Sus scrofa: one gene and its partners. The protein of the gene in region 3 interacts with the protein of the main gene of each other region in a pairwise test. Links are inferred from orthologs where the notes say so. Each region holds a gene or a part of one and is shown on either strand. Other genes may lie near its edges.

What was found.
Region 1: the proteins of CWF19L2 (region 3) and MEOX1 interact in binary tests that used the Homo sapiens proteins (3 or more experiments, as listed by UniProt). The two-hybrid records come from large-scale screens. The link is inferred for Sus scrofa from reciprocal best matches to the Homo sapiens genes CWF19L2 and MEOX1.
Region 2: the proteins of CWF19L2 (region 3) and NAB2 interact in binary tests that used the Homo sapiens proteins (3 or more experiments, as listed by UniProt). The two-hybrid records come from large-scale screens. The link is inferred for Sus scrofa from reciprocal best matches to the Homo sapiens genes CWF19L2 and NAB2.

The regions. Positions count from the first base shown.
Region 1 is NC_010454.4:19,428,693-19,436,321, reverse strand, and holds the start of MEOX1 (homeobox protein MOX-1), read right to left. Parts: upstream 4,920-7,629; 5' UTR 4,456-4,919; coding exon 3,987-4,455; intron 1-3,986. UniProt on the Homo sapiens protein: Mesodermal transcription factor that plays a key role in somitogenesis and is specifically required for sclerotome development. Required for maintenance of the sclerotome polarity and formation of the cranio-cervical joints.
Region 2 is NC_010447.5:22,397,043-22,404,690, forward strand, and holds the start of NAB2 (NGFI-A-binding protein 2), read left to right. Parts: upstream 1-3,232; 5' UTR 3,233-3,505; coding exon 3,506-3,588; intron 3,589-5,030; coding exon 5,031-5,904; intron 5,905-6,328; coding exon 6,329-6,462; intron 6,463-6,819; coding exon 6,820-6,871; intron 6,872-6,965; coding exon 6,966-7,098; intron 7,099-7,318; coding exon 7,319-7,510; intron 7,511-7,648. UniProt on the Homo sapiens protein: Acts as a transcriptional repressor for zinc finger transcription factors EGR1 and EGR2. Isoform 2 lacks repression ability.
Region 3 is NC_010451.4:36,054,600-36,062,136, forward strand, and holds the start of CWF19L2 (CWF19-like protein 2), read right to left. Parts: upstream 5,119-7,537; 5' UTR 5,118-5,118; coding exon 5,025-5,117; intron 1,901-5,024; coding exon 1,790-1,900; intron 1-1,789.

The DNA of each region.
Region 1 (7,629 bases), on a different chromosome or scaffold from region 3:
GTAAAGAAAGGAAGGAAGGAAGGATGGATTCTTGGAGTAGGTGGCTTTCAAAATAAGTGGGCAGAGGGTGTTTGAAGTAAGAGGGAAGCACTGAGAAAACAGGAGTGTGATGGGGAGAAAAATCGGGGTGTGTTTGCAAGGCTGCTCAGCGAGGTGAGTGGAGGTGGAAGTGGGAGGGTAGCCTGGAGTTGGAAATCAGGTAGGAAAGAGGCCAATCTGTGAAGGGTTTTTCAGCCTCAGGGGAAAAAGGGTGCACGTAGCTGGGCAGGTGCAAGTGGCGATCAGATCTCGTGGGGAGGAAATCGGGGAAGGAGGAGCCCTGGGGGACACACGTGTTGGAGCTGCCGAGGGGACAAAGCTAGTCTGCTGAAGGCAGAGTGAGTACATGAGAGCGTCGGTGATCAGAGCTGCACGGAGCCCGGGTATCCAGCCCTCCCAGGCGGGTGATCTGTTCACCTGGAGCCCAACTGATCACGAGCGACCTTCCCTTGAACCCCATCAGGAAATCACCGCGAAATCCTTCGTTCCCATAAATTCAGGATGACCACGGTAGCCACGACAGGCTGGGGGCAAACGATAGTGGCCTCGCAGCTGTCCCTGCCAGCAGGGGTCTTTGACACCCCCCTGGCCCTGGGGAGGGACTGGTTGGGCTGAGTTAACATCCACCAGTCTCTTAAATCAGTCTTGTGCTGTGAACTGACAGAAGGTCTCAGGGTGGGGGCCAGGGAGCCCCACTTTCCTGAGCAAATCGGCTTTACTTCCACTGCCAGGCAATGACGGGGGACAGTGGGGACTGTCAGACAAAGGACAGGGGAGAGCAGAGAACGTTCCTCTTGAGACACCTCTCCGTTATGCACCCTCCTTGGCCAGGTCAGCCGGTGTGGGATGAATTTACCTGGCACAACTCACCCCCTCACCCCAACCGCTCCAGCAGATCGCTGAGCTCCAGGCTCCTAACTGGTGGCCACTGGATTTCAGGACAATAATGATGGCAAGAAGTTCCCCCATCTTACGTCCCAGACTCAGGAAATTCTGAGACAACATATTTGAAATATTCAATTGCACCATCCCCATAAACACAGGGCTATCTGTCAGATTCAGTGTTGACTTGTTCTGCACATATGGACCTCATACCACTCAGTTTATGGAACTCACATGCCAGGCACAGGGTTAATCTTAGGAATCACAGCATTTGACCTTCGCAGTGACTCCATGGGGAAAGTGATATCGTTAGAGTCCCATTTTACAGCTGGGGAAACAGGGGCTCCGAGAAGTTAAGAGCTTCCCCAAAGTCATGCAGTCAAAGGGACCGTGCTGATCCTGCAGCTTGGCTGCCTGACTATGAAGCACCATGGAAAAAACGTTTCTGCTCACTGCTGGTTAGCCTTCCAGAGATAGTTAGCAGGGGCCAGGGTGAGGCGCGAGAGGCACTCACATAATCAAGAGAAAGAATATTTTAATGTAAATTTAAAAAAAAATCAAAATTAATACCCAAAGTCCACCATGAACAGACTGTCAAAATTTCGAATAGAGAATCCAGCCAATGGCTCAGGATTGGAAGGGTGGGGTGGGGGTGGGGGAGTCTTTGTGGGTTTGTGTCTCGTGAACTGAATTCCAGATTCCTGCAGTTGGTTGTGAGCCCTGCTCATTGGTTTCCCTTTTCTTCAGGCGCTTTCAAAGCTGATCTTTCTTGCCTCCTTCCCGTTCGGTTAAATTGCAAAGGAAGATGCAAGTCACGGGCAATGAGGATTTCCATGCTGACCTGAGCGGGTCTGGAGCGCCCCCCCCACCCCCCGAGAATGAATGAGAGTCAACTTGCTGTGCCCTGCTTTGTGACTGCTGCTCCTCTGCTGCTTCTGAGGGGACTTGGAGGGAGAACCCAGGGCCCCTCCTGGCTGGGAACCTCCCCCGACCAAAGACAGACCCTCTGAGGAAGGTGTCTTTGTGCCCTGGGGTGGCCAGCTGCTTAGCACATGAGCAGCGCCATCCATGGGCCACTCGCCGAAAGGAGAGACGGTACATTTGGGTCTCGCCAAAACACGGAATGATCTTGCCTACATCCAGCCCTTGGCTTTGCCCGAGTCTTCCCAGTGCCCTTGGCTCCCAGGTCCCTGGATGCAGCCAAGGTGGATGTGGGCAGAGATGGAGGAGCTACGGTGGCAGGCGCCACAGAGGGGAGGGCTCTTCAACGAGGTGCAGAGCCAAGTGGCTGAGAGCTTCTTGGAGAGGAGAAGCAGAAATGCCCCGTTCTCGGCACATCTCCAGCCAAGCCTAGGAATAGGTCAGGATTTAGCCGACTGGGGACTTAAAGGGCCCGTCTACTGAGCAGCCTGGAGGGCTGTGGTTTTTATCATTCATTGCAAGCACACCGAGAGGCTTCTTCAAGCCTGGAGACCCAATATTTCAAAATGAAGAATTGTGCTTGAAATCTACCGAAGGGGGTGGGTTTGGGGTCTGAAGTCTGGGGTTTGAGTTTTCTTCTTGGGTGACTAACTGTCCCTGGGGTGCTGAACTTTCAATGCTAAAACTGGAAAAGTCCTGGCTTCCTTGAGATGAATGGGTCGTTCTGTTTTGACTCCTTGCTAGCAGTGCTCCCCTCAAACTTTTAAGTTTCTCCTTTTCCACGCCTAAAGAATCAAGTCACTGATAAGACCTGCTGTATCAAACTCGAAAACCTGTGGGACTCAAAAGAGCTATGGTATGTTTCCTGCAGCACCTCGAACCCCCTGAATCAGAGCACATCCACTGCCAGACAGGCACCTGCTGACCTCCCCTCCCTCTCCGTTTGCGCTCTTTGGAGGTGGGAGTGAGACCGCCTTTTCATCTCTGCAACCCCAGGGCCTCTTGGCAAAGAGAAGATGCTCGGGAAGTCTGTGCTACGTTGAAAGCGCTTTGTAAAGCAAAGCGGAGCATGTTTTCTTTGGTTGGCTGCTCCTCTCATTTTCAGCCTGCCCCTGGTGAGCCCCAAGAAGGGTCCTCTGTAGGTTCAGACAGTCAGATGTACCCCGAAGCAGTTGTCAGGAAGACACAATGGGGCAGAAGGGGCAGGAGGCCAGGGCACTGTCTTGTGCTGTGTGAGATGGGGGAGGGATCCAGGCCAAAGGTGAACAGGAGGTGAGAGAAGCCCGTGGTGGGGGGCTAGGGGGGGTCCCACTGGGAGATGAGGAAAAAACAGGTCCCCACCACGGGGAGGAGATGGACTTTAGCTGGGATCTTAGCAAGCAGCCCAGCTCCAGCCTCTGGCCTCGGGGGCTCCAGCACCAAGCTGGGCGTTACCTTCACGCCAAGATCCAGTGCTTGCCCTCTGCTGCCTGCCTCCCTGATTCTCTCTGGAGGGCTCCTCAGAGGGGCAGCCTGCCCTGGGGGTCACCCAGACCTTAGCAGGCTGAGCTGACCCTTTGGCCTGGGCCTGGCCTGCTGGGTAGGGTGGTACCTCCTGGGTGGTCGGCCCCAAAGCTCAGTGCTTGCCTCTTGCATCCCCGCCCTGTGCCTGCTCCTCTGCCTCCTGGACACACAGAGTTCTGGTTCTGCTTGGCTGCCCAGGGTCCCAGCCTTGATCTTAACCTTCCAAGTCTCGGTTTTAGCTGATGCCCCTGGGAGCAAGTCCTGGGGCTCTGGGACTGTTTGGAGCTGGCTGGGGTGTGGTGGGGAGAAGCATGACCCAGAGGCAGCCCAGATGCAGGAAAGCCCCTCTGCGGCCCTTGCCAGCCTCTACCCAGAGGCTCCCTCCCACATGCCCTCCAACTCGATGTGGATCCTGTTTCATTCTCTCGCTGGCACATTTTTCTGGGGCCCAGGAAGGCTGGGGACATAGTCATAGCCCCCATCACCAGAGACTCCTGAAACTCCGAGGTAACTGGTCTAGTCCCCGCCTCTGATTAGGTTAGATCCCAATTTACGGTCAGGGCACCTAGGCTCAGAGAGGGCAAGCAACCGCCCCGAGATCACACAGTAAAGGAAACGTCAGCTGTTCCCCAGCCACCTACCTGAACTCTCCTTTTTCCGTCTGGTTGACTTCTTCTCCGTCTCATTGGCACTGCTCCCAAGGACCTCGTAGTCCTCGCCCGGGCCACCCGTGGTGTCCACCAGGCCTGGGCTGCGGGCCCCCATCTCCTTGGAGCCCCCCGCCGGGCCTGGGTTGAGCCTCCGCCGGGCCTCCGAGACAGGGAAGGGCCAGTCAGGGGGTTGTGGGAAGGCGGGGTGCTGCTCAGTGAAGAGGCGCTCCTCCTGGGGCAGGCTGTGCGGGGTGGCCGCCAGGCAGGAGGCCGAGAAGTCAGGGTACGCTGTCGTCGCTGTCGCTGTGAAGTCTGGTTTCTGGTGGAAGGAGAACGGGGTCGGCGGGTAGTGGGGGAGCCCTGAGGCCCCGCTGCCTTCTGAGTGGGGGTTTCGAAGGCAGCCCCAGACCGGGGCTGGGGGGTGGGGGCCCCTCATGCAGCTGCTGGCCACTGGATCCATCTGTCGTCTGCCCCACGTCTCAGTCCTTTCAAAGGCTGGATTGGTATACTTTATACTCAATTTGTTAAAAATGCAAAAAAAAAAAAAAATTTTTTTTTTTTTTTTTTTTTAAACAGAAGAGAAAAATGTTCAACAGAAAAATTCCACCCAGGACCCCAAACAAACACCAAAACTAAAGTCGCTCCTTACGGTCCGCACACAGGTGGCTGGCTCCACACACGTGTGTACACACCTCTATCAGACTTCACTCCTGGCTTCCTGGCCCCCCCGACGCACCAGCTTGCCTATTGGGGTCCCCTGTACGTGTATGTGTCGCTGATGACACTCAACATTTTCACTGTCCCAGCCCAGACGCACCAGCTAAAGAGCGCTTGTCCTGGAGCCTGCAGCAAACGCCTGCAGAGAGCTGGTCCAGGGCTGCTGAGACACACTTTTAAATCCTGCGGTGGGGAGAGAGTGACAAATTTCTGAAGTGAAATGTGAGAGAGGAGAGGGAGGGGTTAACCAGCACACACACCATCCCCTCCAACCAAAACCCGAGCAGGCAACTATTAATCATCAGAAACCTTATATGCACATCTAATGGGATTTGCAGATGGAGTCTTTTAAAGAAACATTGTCTGTATTTTTTTTTTTTTTTTTAAGGAGAGAGAGCAGCACACACACAATTTCTTTAATGTGCCTCCTATAACACTATGAAGTTATTTTATTGCACTGTTAACAAAATTCCCCAAGTCTCGGATTTGGAAAAAGCCTTAAGTCAGATCCAGCATCCATCAAGTGCCAAATTCCAGGGAGTGAAGCTGGGAATAAGTGCAAGAGACAAGTTTGCTGATTGCATTTGATTTAAAGGCCCTTCTACTGCTGCTTGGCAAAAGGAAGGTGGATTAAAAGAAAGCTTTTTTTGCAAGTCTCAGCGGCCCACTACCGTCTATAGTAGAAAGACACACTCTAGAAGAAAAAAAAAAAAAAGGGTTTCTCTCGGCCCAAAGTGACATTCTCACTTTCCCAGTAACTTAAAAAAACAATCAGATTCTTCCTTCCGCTCTTTAACCCCCAACTTACATGCCAATTCGCCACACTCATCTCTAGAGGGGTTTCAAGTCATTTTTCTCCATGGCAAGGGAAAGACTGTCAGATAAGTTCCTTGAAGTTCCTCCAGGCCTCCCCCACCTGCTCTCTGGCCTCCTAACCTTCACCCACCTGCTTCCCCTAACCCCCAGAGGCCAGGGTTTCCATGGAACCTGGGCATGGAAATAGCAATCAGGGCGATTCTCATTCCCAAAGGAGTTCTCTTCGGCACACAGTTGCATGGTCTTCCAGGCTGGTGCCCGTCCCTGGAGGCCCCAAGGCCATTTCAACCGTCCAATTAGTCCACTCAATCCCCAGGCCCTGCTGGTCTCTCTGGAGGGTTAATATAATTTCCTGGAGGGGGAGTTCCCATCGTGGCTCAGTGGTTAATGATTTCAACTATGAGCCATGAGGTTGAGGGTTCAATCCCTGGCCTCGCTCAGTGGGTCAAGGATCTGGCGTTGCCGTGAACTGCGGTGTAGGTTGAAGATGCAGCTTGGATCTAGCGTTGCTGTGGCTCTGGCGTAGGCCGGCAGCTACAGCTCCGATTCGACCCCTAGCCTGGGAACCCACATACGACATGGGCGTAGCCCTAGAAAAAGACAAAAAAAAAAAAAAATTCTTGGAGGATGACATTCCAAGCACATGGGGTCAGAGCTCTTCTCTTACTGACTATTCCACAGCCCAGAGCTGCAGGACTGGGGCCGAAATGGGCATGGACCAGAAGAGTGCTATCCCTCTTGGCTGGTTCCAGAGATCCACAGGGTTCCCCAAGGAGGAGTCATGGGTCTCAGCACTGCAGCCTGGAGGCTGCACGAACGCTCTTCATGACCTCGGCATCCTGTCTTCCAGAACAGGCAGCCAGGGTGTTGCCAGCTAGTAGAGGAGATGTGGTCATAGCCACAAACCAGACTCACCTCCCCGCTTCGTCCAGGATTTACCTGTCGCACAATTTCTCCTCTGACCTTCGCAACTCTCCTATTTTCGGGAAAGTAAGAATTAGGCTTGGGAGTTCCCGTTGTGGCTCAGTGGTTAACGAATCCAACTGGGAACCATGAGGTTGCCGGTTTGATCCCTGGCCTTGCTCAGTGGGTTAAGGATTTGGCGTTGCCGTGAGCTGTGGTGTAGGTTTCAGACGTGGCTCGGATCCTGCATTGCTGTGGCTCTGATGTAGGCCAGTGGCTACAGCTCTGATTGGACCCTTGACCTGGGAACCTCTATATGACACGGGTGTGGCCCTAGAAAAGGCAAAAGACAAAAAAAAAAAAAAAAGAATTAGGCTCTACATTTTATAAATGAAGAAACTGAGGCTCAGATAGATGAGGTGAGCTGCTCAGAATCAAACTGATAAAAAATGGCAGAACCGGGAATTGTCCCCAGGGGTGTGGCTGTCCAGTCTGGAGCAGTTTGATGCAGAAGAAGGAGCACGGACTTTGGGGTTTAGACGGGTCTGAGTTCAATTCCAGGGTCTGCCACTTCCCTGGGCAAGTCCCCTCACCTCTCTGAGCCTCCGTTTGCTCCCCTGGCAGGGAAGTTATAGCTGCCATTCATCCACTGACCCTACTGCCTCACACGTGTCCTTCAATAGATGCCACAAAAGCCTTCTGAGGCATTTCTCACCTTCAGCATCTTTCAGAAGAGGATTCAGAAGCCCAGAGAGATGGTGTAACCTGCACAAGGTCACACAGCTGGGAAGTGGAGGAGGCTCCAGGATTCAAACCCAGGCAGCCTGGCCCCACGGCATTGGAATGCCTGCTGCCACAGACACTGGAGAATTTTTTTTTCTTTTTACATCTGCACCTGTGACATATGGAAGTTCCCAGGCCAGGGGTTGAATCAGAGCTACACCACTGCCGCAGCAATGCCGGATCCAAGCCACACCTGCAGCCTATGCTAAAGCTTTTGGCAACAATGGATCCTTAAGCCACTAAGTAAGTGGAGGCCAGGGATTGAACCCGCACCCTCACAGAGCCGATGTCAGGTCCTTAACCTGCTGGGCCACAATGGGAACACCCGAGGAATTTTACGTGAAATTGTTCTGCGGAATTCCTGTCATGGTTCAGCAGTAACGAACCTGACTAGTATCCATGAAGATGCGGGTTC
Region 2 (7,648 bases), on a different chromosome or scaffold from region 3:
CTCTCGGGTGTGCCCTTAAAAAGCAAAAAATAAAATAAAAATAAAAAAACATTTCCAAAATTAAAAAAAAAAAAAAAAAGCATGGAGACATGGAAAACAATGGTCTCCACTTGAACAGTTCTGCCCAGGTTCAGCCTCCTCTGGAGTAAAATCTGTGTCAATTACCCTTTTCAAAGCTGCTCCAGCCTGGAAACAGCATCATCAACTCAGTCACTTCAGAGGGTCCACCAGATACCAGACCAGGAAAGACCCCAGGCTGAAGATGAAACCAGCAACTATAGTCGAAATGCGTACCAAGAGCCATGAGGCTACTGAAGGATGGAAGAAATTAATTCTTCCTGGCGGAGGTGCAGGAAGGCGAGGGACCAGGCAGGTGACATTTGAGCCAAATCTTGCTGTATTTGGCCTGGTGAAAACTTGTTGGGGGGTAGGGGTGGGTGCGGTGAGCAGTGCAATCTGCTAGATGAAAATCTACTCCTGCCTAGGAATGACAATCCTTCTGGTTAGCAATATCCGCACTCCTCTTCCACCCACTTTCTTCACAATCTTTTCCTCTGTTTTTGGAAAATTGAGACCCAGGATATTGTTTCTCTTCCTGAAAGAGATCAGTATAGACAATAAACTAACCCTTGATTAAATGAGATCAATAGCTCAGCTCTGTGTGCCCCTGAGAACAATGAGGTAACGGGATGGGGGGGTGGGAGAGTGAAGCAGGTGAGTGGGTAGTGAAGTGGCTTGAGCCACACTGGGGAAAATGGGGCCCAGGGAGAAAAGAGAAGAAATTAAGATTTTTGTATTTGCCCCCACCCCTTTTTTGTCAACCTCCCCCCACCTGTCTCTTATCTTTATTGTTTTTCTGTAGTTTTTCATAGTCCCAGTCTCTTTGTGTCTCTGTCTCCATTTGCTAAAGGCTGGAAATTCCTTGTTCTCAACGGAAGGGAGTAGGAGGGGAGTTGGAGGTGGTAGGAGTGGGAGGTAAGAGAAGAACAGACATCTCAGCAGCTCCGGCTGCGGGGGCGTCTGGGCCTCTGGCGGGGCTTGACAAGTCAATGATTTTTTAAATGTGCATATTTTTAAATCCACACAGAGGGGCTCACAAACCTAGAGAGAGACAGAGACACAGACACACAAGTCGATGTAAAGAAGCATATAAATACATAATCTCAGGGTACAGAGGCACCAACTGGCACTAGCGTCTTAAATTTGCTTATTAGCATTTCACAATTCACAGAGTTTTCATATACACCCTCTCATTTGACCCTCACGACACCCGAGAAACAAAGATATAAACACCCCGGAGTTTCAATCTCAAACACAAGTTCGCACTCAGAAATTATCCCTTCTGATCCCTAGGGGAGTTGGCTGAGCCAGTGCAAAGGATTTTTCTCCCCCAATTTTTCTCTCTGGCCTAGTACCCGCCCCAGGACCGTGGAGCCCAGGCCCCAGAATAGGCTCCTCCCTCATCTCCTTTCCAGGGCCGGGACTCTAGCGCCCGGCGCCCACTTGGTCACCGCCCCCTTGATTCACGCCCTATTCAGCCGTCTTCCCCGGGCCAGCCAGCGTCTCCCTTCGGATCCGGGGGCTCAGCACCGCCCCTAGGGGGCCCGGGTGGGAGGGAGGGGGGCGCCTGGAGCAGAGACTGTGTGGGCGGAGGATGTGCGTCACGGGGAGCGTGGGCAGAGGGAGGGAGGAGGCACGTGGAAACCCCGGGCCAGCCGCTGGCGCCCAGGTTCTAAAATAACCGGGAGAGAGTGGGGGAGGGGCGCCCACACATTTAAGAGGGGTCGAGGAGTGTCTCCGCCGGGAGCCGGTGTAGGCGCGCCCTCCAGTTGTAGAACCGAGGACTCGGTTCGCTCCCGATCACCCTCCAACCCCATTTTGGGGGCTTCATGGAACGGACAAGAGAATCTTGGCTACTGAAATTCCCCCCAGTGGTGCACCTCTCTTCTCCTGTCCCACCCGGAGACGGGAGGGTCCCCTCGCCAGGCCGGAATGTAGAACCAGCCCTGGCCCACGCTACCCACTCCTTGCTGGCCCGGGCCACTCAGAAGTGCTGAATGATGGGTGGGGCTGAGATTTTGGATTAGGGGGAATTTTGCCGCCCCTCCTCCTTCATTTCCTCGGGGCGTAGAGCCGCTGGGCCGGGCTCTAAGAGACCCCGCCAGTCGGCCCTCTCAGCCGTGGGCGGGAGTGTAATGGGAACCAGATGGGGCTGGGAAAAAGAAAGGGGAGGGATGGTGGGTGGCAGAGAGGGGCAAAGCTCCTTGAAGGAGCTCCTCCCTCCTACTCCTCGGTAGGGAGCCACGTCGGTAGGGAGCCACGTCCGACGCGCCCGGCCTCCGCCGGTCTCCCACTTGACTCCGGCGAAATACCTTCACAGACGTCCCTAGAAGGGGTATCCTCCTCCCAAAGTTGCCACACAGAATTCCCCAGAGGTAGGTCCCCATTCTCAGCAAATAGGATGCTACTAGCGGAAGAAGGCAGGATACCCCTCCCATCCTTGCCTGACCTAAGCACTAACAACCCAGCGCGACTAATAGACGCGCGTCTAAGCAGCAGGTTATGGCAAACCCCGCCCATTTCTGTTCCCCGAACTTCGACGTGGTTTGGGAAGAGTGCGAGGATCTGTGAGGGATTCCTGCAGAGCTCCACGTTCACAGATCTGTCCTAAGTGCACACTCTACGGGAGTCAGAAGCACCCACGAGAGGAGCCGCGCACCCCAGTCTCCCAACTTTTCCTGGCTCACTCCTAACATTCACACGTATAGCACCGCGAAGCCCGAGTGTGGGCAGCAGGCGACCGGGTAGTTGTTTAGGCGCGTGTGCCCGTCGGTGTGCTTCTCTGTGTCTTTGTGTACCTGTGCGTGGTTGTGAAACTCCGCTCTCTGCTCAGAGGGGAAGGAGGAGTGGGAGTAAGAATGTCGCCGGCTGGGCGCTCACGTGGGTACGTGGGCGCGAAGAAGGCCGGCTGTGCATCCGGCGTAGGCGGCTCCGAGCGACCTCGCCCCGCCCGCTGAGTCCCCAAGCCCGCCTTCCACAGCCCGGCCTCGGTCACTTTAGTCCCCAACTCGGCGCCCTGGCGCCGAGTCCCCGCCCCCGCCTCCTGCTCCACACCCCCCTCCCCACATTCTCCGCCTCTCTCCGCCTCTCTGCTGAGGCTTCTCCACCGCCGGCCGAGAGGCCCGGGCGCCCGCCCCCCGCCCACAAGCCTCCGCCCCCGGCTCGGCCCACGCCCTCCGCCCGCCTGGCAGCCAGTGCTGCGCCGGGCCTCGCTCCCCGTGCGTCCTGCGGGGGCGGAGGCGCGGAGAGGCGGCAAGCGCAGCCGGGGAGGGGGGGGGTAGAGGCACAGACAGAGGCGCGGAGGCTCGGAGAGAGGAGACGTGGAGGAAGGGACGGAGCCCGGACAGCGGCGGACACGGCCTCGCGCGCCAGGAAGATCGCAGCACACAGAAGGCGCCGAGCGCCGGACACTGAGAGGGGCATCCCCGGTGGTCTCCAGCCGTCCATGCACAGAGCTCCCTCCCCCACTGCCGAGCAGCCGCCGGGCGGAGGGGACAGCGCCCGCCGGACCCCTCAGCCCAGACTCAAGTAAGTGGGCAAAGGGAAGCGGCGGGGAGTGGAAATGGGTGGAGCTGGACTCGGGGAAAGGGGTCCGGAGGGCGGAGGTCGAGGAGAGGACTAGGGGAAGAGGGACGGGGGTGGGGGGTGGAGACTGATGGAAAGGGGGTGCGCCTTCGAATTAGGGGGCCATGGGAGCAGGCAGGGATCTGATGAAGCTGGATGTGAAGGAATAGTATCTAATTCTCCATTCCTCGTTTACTCTGTGAGCATGACCTGGCCTGTGAGCCCCTGCAAAGAATGTGGGGGCTCCTAAGTGCCAGGGGAAGCCCTGGAGTTCTAGCTGGCAACAGTGCTGGGGAAGAGCCGCTCAGCTGGCACAATCTGTGGTTGGCATGGAGCGCGCCGCTTTGGGGTCGGGAGAAGTCGGCGCCTTTGAACCAAGAGCGCATCAGAGCGGCTCTGCAGGAGCAGGACGTGCCTTAGGCGTCTATTTCCATTTCCGTACCTTTATTTACAGAGTGGGGAGGGGAGTTTCGGTGTGCAGCCCCTCCCTCAAGAGGCCTTGAGTCGCTCCCCCACTCCACTTGAAGATGTGGATGGAAAAAGGGAGAGAGGGGTAGGCGGGAGCCCCCCGGCGGTTTTCGCCCACGGACGCTACCACCGTGGGAGTGTGTGTGGGCGGAACGGGCCGCAAAGCAGAACAATTGAGGCACTTCTCCCCTCCCCTGTGCCTGAGCTGAAGGGATGGGCCTACCTCTGGAGCAGGTGGGAAGGTCACTGCTGGGAGAGGGACCAACCGAGGGCCACTGGGCAGTCTGGAAGAGGGGGGAGGTTCTGGGGAGAGACAGCAGGAAAATGCCTAATCCTTGGGGAAGGCTTAGCAGAGGTGGGAAAAGGTAGCAGAGTAGGGGTCTGCTTGGCTCCTTGAGCTGAAAAGGGCAGGGAAGCCACACCCTCTGCCTCAGCCACATGAGCATAATGCCACCAGAGAATAAAGCTGCCCAGGTGTCCATTGTAGGGAGGTGGGGGCTCATACATTCACCTCAGTGTGGGAAGCTAACTTGTGTAATGTTGAGATTGCTGGGTGTTTGGGGGGAAGACGAGGACTGTGTTCTGGAGGAGAGGGTGGTCCAGCCATCACCGGGGTGTGCTGGCTGGCTTCAGCGCGCAAGGTCTCCTTGTGCCAGGCCAGAAAAGTAAAAGTTGAGGATGGGGGAACAGAGCCTTTGACTTCCACAAAGACCAGTATGGTTTTTAGTACTTCTGGCCAGTTTGGGATGGCATTAGCATGGCTGTGACTCTGAGCAGTGGTTGGTTCTTGTGGTTTGGGCTCCGACCTAGGCACTGGGCAGAGAGAGCATTCGGAAGAGGGGTGGGAAAGAGAAAACAACCGTGAACGTGTGTTCGTACCCAGCAAGGAGGACTTGCACTGACCGCCATCCCCTCTCTGTCCTGTGCCTCCTTCTCAGGCCCAGTGCCCGAGCCATGGCCCTGCCTCGGACACTGGGGGAGCTGCAGCTGTACCGGGTCCTGCAGCGCGCCAATCTCCTTTCCTACTATGAGACCTTCATCCAGCAGGGAGGGGACGACGTGCAGCAACTGTGTGAGGCGGGTGAGGAGGAGTTCCTGGAGATCATGGCACTCGTGGGCATGGCCACCAAGCCTCTCCATGTCCGACGCCTACAGAAGGCACTAAGAGAGTGGGCCACCAATCCAGGGCTCTTCAGCCAGCCAGTGCCCGCCGTGCCCGTCTCCAGCATTCCGCTCTTCAAGATCTCTGAGACTTCGGGGTCCCGGAAGGGGAGCATGAGCAACGGGCATGGCAGTCCTGGGGAAAAGGCGGGCAGTGCCCGCAGTTTTAGCCCTAAGAGCCCCCTTGAACTTGGAGAGAAGCTGTCACCATTGCCCGGGGGACCTGGGGCAGGGGACCCCCGGATCTGGCCAGGCCGGAGTACTCCAGAGTCCGATGTTGGGGCAGGAGGAGAAGACGAGTCTGGCTCACCCCCGTTCTCCCCACCTGCAGGGGGAGGAGTCCCCGAGGGGACTGGGGCTGGGGGGCTGGCAGCAGCTGGGGCTGGGGGCGGTCCGGATCGGCTGGAGCCAGAGATGGTACGCATGGTGGTGGAGAGCGTGGAGAGAATCTTCCGAAGCTTCCCGAGGGGGGATGCTGGGGAGGTAACGTCCCTGCTGAAGCTGAACAAGAAGCTGGCACGGAGCGTGGGGCACATCTTTGAGATGGACGATAACGACAGCCAGAAGGAAGAGGAGATCCGCAAATACAGCATCATTTATGGCCGCTTTGACTCCAAGCGGCGGGAGGGCAAGCAGCTCAGCCTACATGAGGTAAGGATCCCAGCCTCCCAGGAGTGCTCTTGACTCCCAGGCCTTGACCCACTCATCTCTGAGAATGATCACTTCCCCAAGTCTGTTTCATTGACCTTGACCAGGACCCCAGGCCCTGATCCCTTCCCCAGCCAACCCCAGCTGCTGCAGTGCTTCCCTCCTCAACTGAGGCGGAAGCAGAGACACAAGCAAAGCCCAGCTGTCCTCCATGCTGCTCAGAACCCCACAGGAGTGGAGGAGGCCCTGGGCATTCCTGGGTGCTGACCTCTGTCTTCCTCCCTCAGAAAGCTCCTGCGTAGTGTCAGAACCCGAGCAAGCATCTGATGGCTGGGCCTTGCTTGTCTGATGGTGAAGGGGAGAGAGGAGGTTTGGGCAAGGTGCTGGGTGAGTTAGGATTCTGACTGCGCTGGCGCCCTCTCCACAGCTGACCATCAATGAGGCTGCTGCCCAGTTCTGCATGAGGGACAACACGCTCTTACTGCGGAGGGTGGAGCTCTTCTCCCTGTCCCGCCAGGTGGCCCGAGAGAGTACCTACCTGTCCTCCTTGAAGGGCTCCAGGTGAGACTCCCTTCTCTAGGTCCTTCCTAGATCAGAATCCTTCCAAGGAGCTGGGTCATGTCTTAATCTCTACTTCAGGTGCCTCTTGGACTGCTTCTCCCCCATCTGTGTGTCCTTGACTTTGGCCAAGTCCACTTATCTGAGGTCTGGCCCCTTCTCCCATCCATTGCAGGCCTCCACTGTGCCCCCCCACTGCCCCCCCCCCCCCAACAATGGTGCCTGAGCTGGAGACTTGCTTAGCCAGCATCTTTTCATACTCTGGAAATAATGCGTGTTCTTCCCCCCCCAGATTCTGTGTCTTGTCCACCACTTGTCCTTCCCCAGCCTCACTCTCCTTGTTCCTCTCCATCTTTGAAGGCTTCACCCCGAAGAATTGGGAGGCCCCCCACTGAAGAAACTGAAACAAGAGGTAGGTTTTCCAGGGTGCATATAGGGGGTTAGGGCAGCCTTCCCTGGTCCCCTCCCTTGCCAGGTTTTCATTTCCCCATTTGGGGCCTCTACAGGTTGGTGAGCAAAGTCACTCTGAAATCCAGCAGCCTCCCTCAGGCCCTGAGTCCTATGCACCCCCATACCGCCCCAGCCTGGAGGAAGACAGTGCCAGCCTGTCCGGGGAGAGCCTGGATGGACACTTGCAGGGTGAGTGTGCCTCGGAACACTTCTCTGGCCACTGGGGAGGGGGGAGCGCAGGGGTAGAAAGCTTGGGAGGAGGGCGCCAGGAGGCAACTCCCTGGAACATGGTTGGGAGGCCTGGCGGGATGGGGGCAAATGGGCCTGGGCCTATGGGTCTGGCTTTGCAGTTGAGGGTGGGGGTTCCGTGGACTGTGGTCCCTTACCTGACCCGTGCCCATGCCCACAGCTGTGGGGTCATGCCCAAGGCTGACGCCGCCCCCTGCTGACCTGCCTCTGGCATTGCCAGCCCATGGGCTGTGGAGCCGCCACATCCTGCAGCAGACACTGATGGATGAGGGGCTGCGGCTAGCCCGCCTCGTCTCCCATGACCGCGTGGGCCGCCTCAGCCCCTGTGTGCCTGCGAAGCCGCCTCTCGCAGGTGAGGCAGCCAGCAGTGCTGTCCCCAACCACCCCTGCCACCCAGGCTCTCCCCCAACACACACAGCAATCCTGGTGTCCTGGGGCCAGGTGGGAGGAAGAGGGATGTAGTCACCAGAGAGGGCAATAAGGATGGTGG
Region 3 (7,537 bases):
AAAACAATCAAAAAATGGGCAGAAGATCTAAACAGACATTTCTCCAAAGACATATGGATGGCCATTAGGCACATGAAAAAACGCTTAACATCACTAATTATTAGAGAAATGCAAATCAAAACTACAATGAGATACTACCTTACACAGTAAGATATAGCTATCATTAATACGTCTGCAAGAACAAATGCTGGAAAGGGTCTGGAGAAAAGGGAACCGCCTACACTGTTGGTGGGAATGTAAATTGGTACAACCACTATGGAAAACAGTATGGCAGTTCCTCAGAAAAGTAAAAATAGAATTATTGTATGATCCAGCAATCCCACTCCTGTGCATGTACCCAGACAAAACTTTCAGTGAAAAAAGATACATGCACCTCTATATGTTCATTGCAACATGATTCCCAATAGCTAAGACATGGAAACAACCTACATGTCCATTAACAGATGAATGGGTAAATACATACATATATATACACACACATATACATACAGATATATATATACACACACATATATATACATATACACACACACACACACACACACACACATACAATAGACTACTACTCAGCCATAAAAAAGAATAATGCCACTTGCAGCAACATGGATGTAACTAAAGATTCTCATACAAAATACAGTCAGAAAGAGAAAGACAAACACTGTATGATATCACTTACATGTGGAATCTAAAATATGGCACAAATGAGCCTATCTGCAAAACAGAAACAGACTCACAGATATAAAAAATAGTCTTGTGGTTGCCAAGGGGGAAGGAGGAGGGAGTGGGATGAACAAGGAGTTTGGGGTTAGCAGATGCAAACTATTACATTTAGAATGGATGAGCAATGAGGTCCTACTGTACAGCACAGGGAACTATGTCCAATCTCTTGGGGATAGATCTATGTTCCAAAAAACTTTAAATCTTTCATGAAAGGAGATGAGGACTATGACTAAATAAACAAAATCTTCTAAGAAACTTTAACATGCTTCTATAACATATGCACTAAAAATCATACAGCTAAGATTTCTTAGAAAAATGAGAGAAGTTTTAGTTTTCTTTGTAGATACACTGATAGACAGATATCAAGTAAACACATATATACACAAATATACATGTGTGTGTGCGTGTGTGTGTGTGTGTGTATCCTCTTCAATGGCCCCAAAAGGATTAACAGAAGAGTATTAGCCCCATAAAATATAACAAGAGAGACAGCATAAATTGTGAGAAGGGAAAACAAGGATTAAGGACCCCCCCCTTAAAATAAATAAATAAATAAATAAATAAATAAATAAATAAAAGTATGACATTAAGCTTAAAACACGTAAATTTTTAGATCCATAAGCGTGCTACAAGTGGACCAGAAATTTGAATTTAAGCTTTCAAGTTTTACTGAATTATAGTTGATTTACAATGTGTGAAAATTTCTGCTGTACAACAAAGTGATCTGGTTATACATATACACGTATCCATTTTTTTCTCAAATTCTTTTCCCGTATAAGTTATTACAGAATATTAGGCAGATTTTCCTGTGCTATAAAGCAGGTCCTCATTGACCGTCTATTCTGAAGCTAAGCCTTCAGCCAACTCAGATAACAAAATCTTTCCAATGTCATAATGTCCAAAATATTAAAACATACTACTTCTTCCATATTTGGTAATGCCAACTATGTGATATTCATTCTGTACTTGTAAAAACAGTCTACAAAGTTAATCCTCCAATATTAACTTGAATAAGTACCTAAAAAAAGAGACATATATGCTTACATCAAGTAAGCCTGTTAGTATTCACCTGTGAGATCTGTTCAACTCGCTCATTCACATCAGGTAGCATCCATGTCTCCTCACCCCGAAGTCGTTTAAGTTCTTTACGCCTTTCTTCTTTTTCAAAATTGGCTTTAGCCTAAAACAGTGAAAAAAGAAAAATTGATCTGCATTCTTTTCACAAACAGAAACAGAAACTTCCACTTTCATAAAACATTCTTGAATGAACTCCTTCTTGCCAAGAATTTGCTTCTACAAAAGTGTAAGAGAGATTAAAAAAAAAAAAAGGGAGTTCCCATTGTGGCGCAGTGGTTAACGAATCCGACTAGGAACCATGAGGTTGCGGGTTCGGTCCCTGCACTTGCTCAGTGGGTTAAGGATCCGGCATTGCCGTGAGCTGTGGTGTAGGCCAGCAGCAACAGCTCTGATTGGACCCCTAGCCAGGGAACCTCCATATGCCTCGGGAGCAGCCCAAGAAATGGCAAAAAGACAAAAAAAAAAAAAAAAAAAAAAAAAAAAAAAAAAAAAATCTCCTCCCACATTACCAATTGCATTACCAATTATCAACCTCTAGTATAATGAGCTACCAGTCAAGGACAGACTCCTGGGATCTATTGCAGACCCTTCCCTCTCCCTAAGCTCCCTACCTCAAATGTGACTTGAATCTCTTTTCCCTTCACTATCCCACTGATAATGCCTGATACTTTTGTAACTGTTAGGACACTGTCAAACTGCAATATCCATACCTGTTATAGCAGGCAGATAGTTAGGCATGAGCAGAGAAGGGGGAAATGGGGCCAAACAGCAGGAAATCATGTATCATGCTAACAGCAGGATCCATGGGTGGGCAAAGAAAAGTGGGGGAGTTCCTGTCATGGCTCAGCAGTTAGTTAACAAACCCAAATAGCATTCATGAGGATGAAGGTTTGATCCCTGGCTTTGTTCAGTGGGTTAAGGATCTGGCGTTGCCGTGAGCTGTGGTGTAGGTCACAGATGAGGCTCAAATCCTGTGTTGCTGTGGCTCTGGCATAGGTCAGGGGCTACAGTTCCGATCTGACCCCTAGCCTAGGAACCTCCATATGCCATAAGCGTAGCCCTAAAAAAACACATGCAAAAAAAAAAAAAAAAGAAAGAAAAAGAAAAGCCATAACAGCGTTCCCATTGTGGCTCAGCAGGTTAAGAACCCAACTAGTATCCATGAGGATGCAGGTTCCATCCCTGGCCTCACTCAGTGGGTTAAGGATTTAGCATCGCCATGAGCTGCAGTGTAGGTTGCAGACACTGCTAAGATCCTGGGTTGCTGTGGCTGTGGCATAGGCCTACAGCTGCAGCTATGATTTCACCCCTAGCTTGGGAACTTCCAACCTCCAGACTGATAGGAAACTACACCTTTTGGGGTGATAAGTGCCCTGGAGGCTGACAAAGACAGGTGGGAAAAGATGCAACTCTCCAATGTCCAAATATAATCTGTTCCTCGTTATATTATAATAAAATTAGCTATATGGATAAGAAGTATCCATCATACACTGATGCCATGACACTTTCAATAACGACAAAAATCCCTCCTCCCTTCGGGAAGGTGAAAGTGGGATGAAAATTAAGGAATACGACACCCCAAACTCCAGCCATACAATTGGAGTCCCCATATAACCGGTGTGCCAAAAAAAACATGGGGCAGCTGGTCACCTCTCTGCAGCCTCTCCTTAAGAGCTGTATTTCTCACTGAAGTAAATCCTCACTTTTCATTCTTAATTTGTCTCATTTCTGAACTCTTTCTGTGACAAGAAACTAACCTTTGGGAACATACTCATACACCGAAAATGCTTCAAGAAGAATCTCCTTTCTGAAAACAAATGATCATAATCCTAATAATTTGTCTCTCTCTCTCTCTCTTTTTTTTTTTTTTTTTTTAGGGCCACACAGTGGCATATGGAAGTTCCCAGGCTACAGGTTGAATGAAGCTGTAGCTGCTGGCCCACATCATAGCCACAGCAACTCAGGATTTGTGCTGCATCTGTGACCTCACCACAGCTCAGAGCAACACAGAATCCTTAACCCACTGAGTGAAGCCAGGGATCGAACCAGAGCCCTCATGGATACCAGTTGGGTTCCTTACTGCTGAGCCACAGCAGGAACCCCACATAATGCTAATTTTTATTCATCTTTTCAACAACAGTCAAATAAAGATCTTCCTAGGAGGCTGTTGCTGCCTTTTCATTCTCTCCCCAAATTTCAAAGCTGGGTTTGGTTCTTCTCCCTCAGTGCATAGCTCTACCATAAAATTTATCACAGCTTACAAACTCTACTCCCTCCAACAACTGCCTGAAACATCAGAGACAAGGATGAAGGATATTTATTACACACATATATTACACTTACTGAAACAAAGGAACTACACGAACCTTTCACCTGTCCAAGACTTTCTGCCCTCTCTTCCTCTGTAAAATTTTACTGTAGTCATTATACTTCTCCTCCTTGTTCTCCTCTACCGGCTCCCTCTCATCTGCATTTAAACTCGTTTTAAACTCTTTCATCTTAAAACAAAAGCCCTCACTTATGGCACCATACATTGTTCTTTACCACAACGTCTCCCCTTCATTGCCACACTTCTTACATCTTGTCAGATAATACAGTAGTACAGTTTACTTCCTCCACTCTTTACACGCATCTCAATGAGAAATACAAGGATTCTCAACCTTTTTCGGGGGGCTGAATTCTAAGTCTCTTGTCTCAATCCTTGTAAAGATCAGTAAGGGATTACAATAAGCCAAGACAAACAGGTTAAAAAAAAGAGCGGGGGGTAGTGAAACGGTAAAACACTTCACACTAATATGCCTTACATGTGTTCCTGAAAACGGAAAGTTTCATTTCAGATACAGCAAGCGCGAGGGCTGAGGCTGTAAAATACTCAGAGAGAGTCATTATAAGTGGTGGAGTCCCAGGGAAGTGAGCAAATCAGGTGACCAGGTGTTAAAAATGTCAAGAATGAACGGTTTAAAAGATAAGGAAATTCAGAAGAAACAAGTTTTCCTTAAAAAACAAACATGAACAAATGGAACATGCTTCTGGAGCACCCAGGAGGCAGAAGATACTCGAGTTTGTAGGAATTTCCAAAGGGAGACAACTACCTCCACACAACCGGAGGTAAGATACAGCGGAGTGAAAGGGAGAGTGTTGGGGAGGCACGAAAGCCAGAGGTCTGGTTCCCAGAAAGCCTCCGCTCTCGATTCTAAATGGCGCCAAAAGCCCCCAAACGGCAGTACCTGTCGCAACACCTCTGCCCTGGCAATCCGGGTCTGTTCCTTACGCTCCTCAATGCTCCTGGCACTTTCAAAACTACCACCGACAGCCGCCATAGTTGTTGTCGTCGTTAAGCTAAGAAGCTGTCGCAAAAATCTCAGTTTACGACTGTCGTAATTTAATAAACAAACCTAGACTTCCGACCAGAAGGAGGGGTGCTGCTCCACCAACGGAGCATGCGCAATTCTGACTGTCGCTTAGTATTCTAGGGACTTGTCCAACTTCCAGGTTTAGAGAGGACGGAAGATTAATCTGAGGAGTTGCCTGCCCACTTTCATCTGTTGAGACTGCCCTGATCAGGGTTACTGTTAGTGTACATTTATTATGCACTTTGTACCATACCGATGGCATTCTTAGCTATGTCCTCCTAAAACCACCGCAGTAGATTAGACACTCAGAGAGGTTAAGTACGCACCTCGAAGATTTGCACCAAGGTGCCCTTCCTGCCTGAGTTCCCCTGTGCTGGAGGAATGTGCTGAAGGGGAGGATTATCAGAAAGGCAGTGCACGCTAGCAGGAGGGCAAAATTGCTTTGAAGAGCCAGTGGTTTTTTTTGGTGGATTTTAAGTACAATGTATGAAAAAGATGTGAATTTGCATGGCACTTCATAATTTATAGGTGCTTAAAGTGCAACAGTTTTTCTGACTTCATTTGTTTATACTTATCCATTCAAGCGTTTTTTTCATCACAGCGTGCAATTGCTCCCAAACATAAAACTTTAAGCTCCGTGAAGAATAAGACATTCTGAAGCATTAATCAAGTGCTTTGAGAATATAAAACACTGAGCTTATTTATAATCGCAAAGATAAAGAAGGCTGGAGAATATATACTAGTTACTTTAAAAAAAACATTTAAAATAGTTAACATAAACTAGATTGAGGTAAATATTTTTTTTTAAGTTTTCATAATACTACATTTGTGTTTGTAAGAAGCTTTCCCAGGAGTTTCTACTTCCCCAATCCATGAAGATCTTAACTTTGAGCATTTAGTGTATATTTGTTTGATATACAAAATAGAATGTATTCATTGCATTTTTGTTACAGAAAAGCGATTTTAATTTATGAATTGACCTTGAAATATTTTCTCCACTGTGACCTCACTAATTTTTGTCATAATTAACCTAACTATCATTCAACTCTTTCAGATTCTCTTAGGATTCAGAAAAACATCTGTTAACCCCTTGCATCAATTATAGGATGAAAAAATGGCAATTATAGCAAAATTATCTAACGAAAACTTTTAAACTGTACATAAGGCACAAAAAAAAATAGAACAAATAGAGAAGCATAATGTGTGCTTGAGGAAGACTCAACATCATAAAGGTATCAATTGTGCATAAAATATTTTGTAAATATTAAGCAATACAAATAAAACCTCCAGGAAAAAAAAAAAGTTGGGATCAGGAGGGGAAGTAGAGAGGGTGATGTAGAAAAGTAAGGTAAAGCAAGTTGTTTTTACTAGTTTGCATTTGGCCACACCTAATAGAAATACATGGTTTAATCAAACAAGTTGTAATGTAATAAGGAGCCTGAAGATAGCTAGTCTAGGAACAAAGTTTTTCTCCTTTTCTGCTTTGTAACATTTAGTCTGTAACTTAAGTTCTTCATATTTGCAAGGAATGTATTCCATTCCTTCACATCTGTGCATTCACCTATTAAAACATAGAAATAAGGGAGGAGAACAAGGGCCAAAAAGTGTATGCCACCTAAGCCTTCCCCATTTTTATTAGGAAAATGATGACTTTCCTGAAGTCTAATCCAGTTTCTTCCACTTGAATCTTATAAACCAGAAATAGATCACATGACTACAACTAACTAAAGAAGAATCATGAAGATTCCAGAACAGTTTTGTTATAGAGTGACACTCAGATTAGTCCAAGGTTTCTTTGTGGTTATGTTATAGCAGGCAGATAGCTTGGTATGAGCAGAGAAGGGAGGGGGCGGTGTAGGTGCACAGGCCGGGTGGCAAGAACACATGTCTTGTAAATAGCAAGGGTTCAAGGGCAGACAAAGAAAAGCAAGAACCTCCAGACTGACACAAAACCACACATTTTTGGGTGATAAGTGTCCTGGAGGGAATGAAACATAGAATGTCCAGCTTCTGAATATAACCTGATGCTCATCATGTCCTCTTTACAATAAAATTAGACTTGCAGTTAAGAAGTACCGGAGTTCCTGTCGTGGCTCAGTGGTTAACGAATCCGACTAGGAACCATGAGGTTGCAGGTTCGGTCCCTGCCATTGCTCAGTAGGTTAACGATCCGGCGTTGCCATGGGCTGTGGTATAGGTCGCAGACACAGCTCAGATCCTGCATTACTGTGGCTCTGGTGTAGGCCAGTGGCTACAGCTCAGATTGGACCCCTAACCTGGGAACCTCCATATGCCGAGGGAGCGGCCCAAGAAATAGCAAAAAAACAAAAAAACAAAAAGAAAAAAAGCACCCATTATGCACCAATGCCATGATACTTCCCATCAAG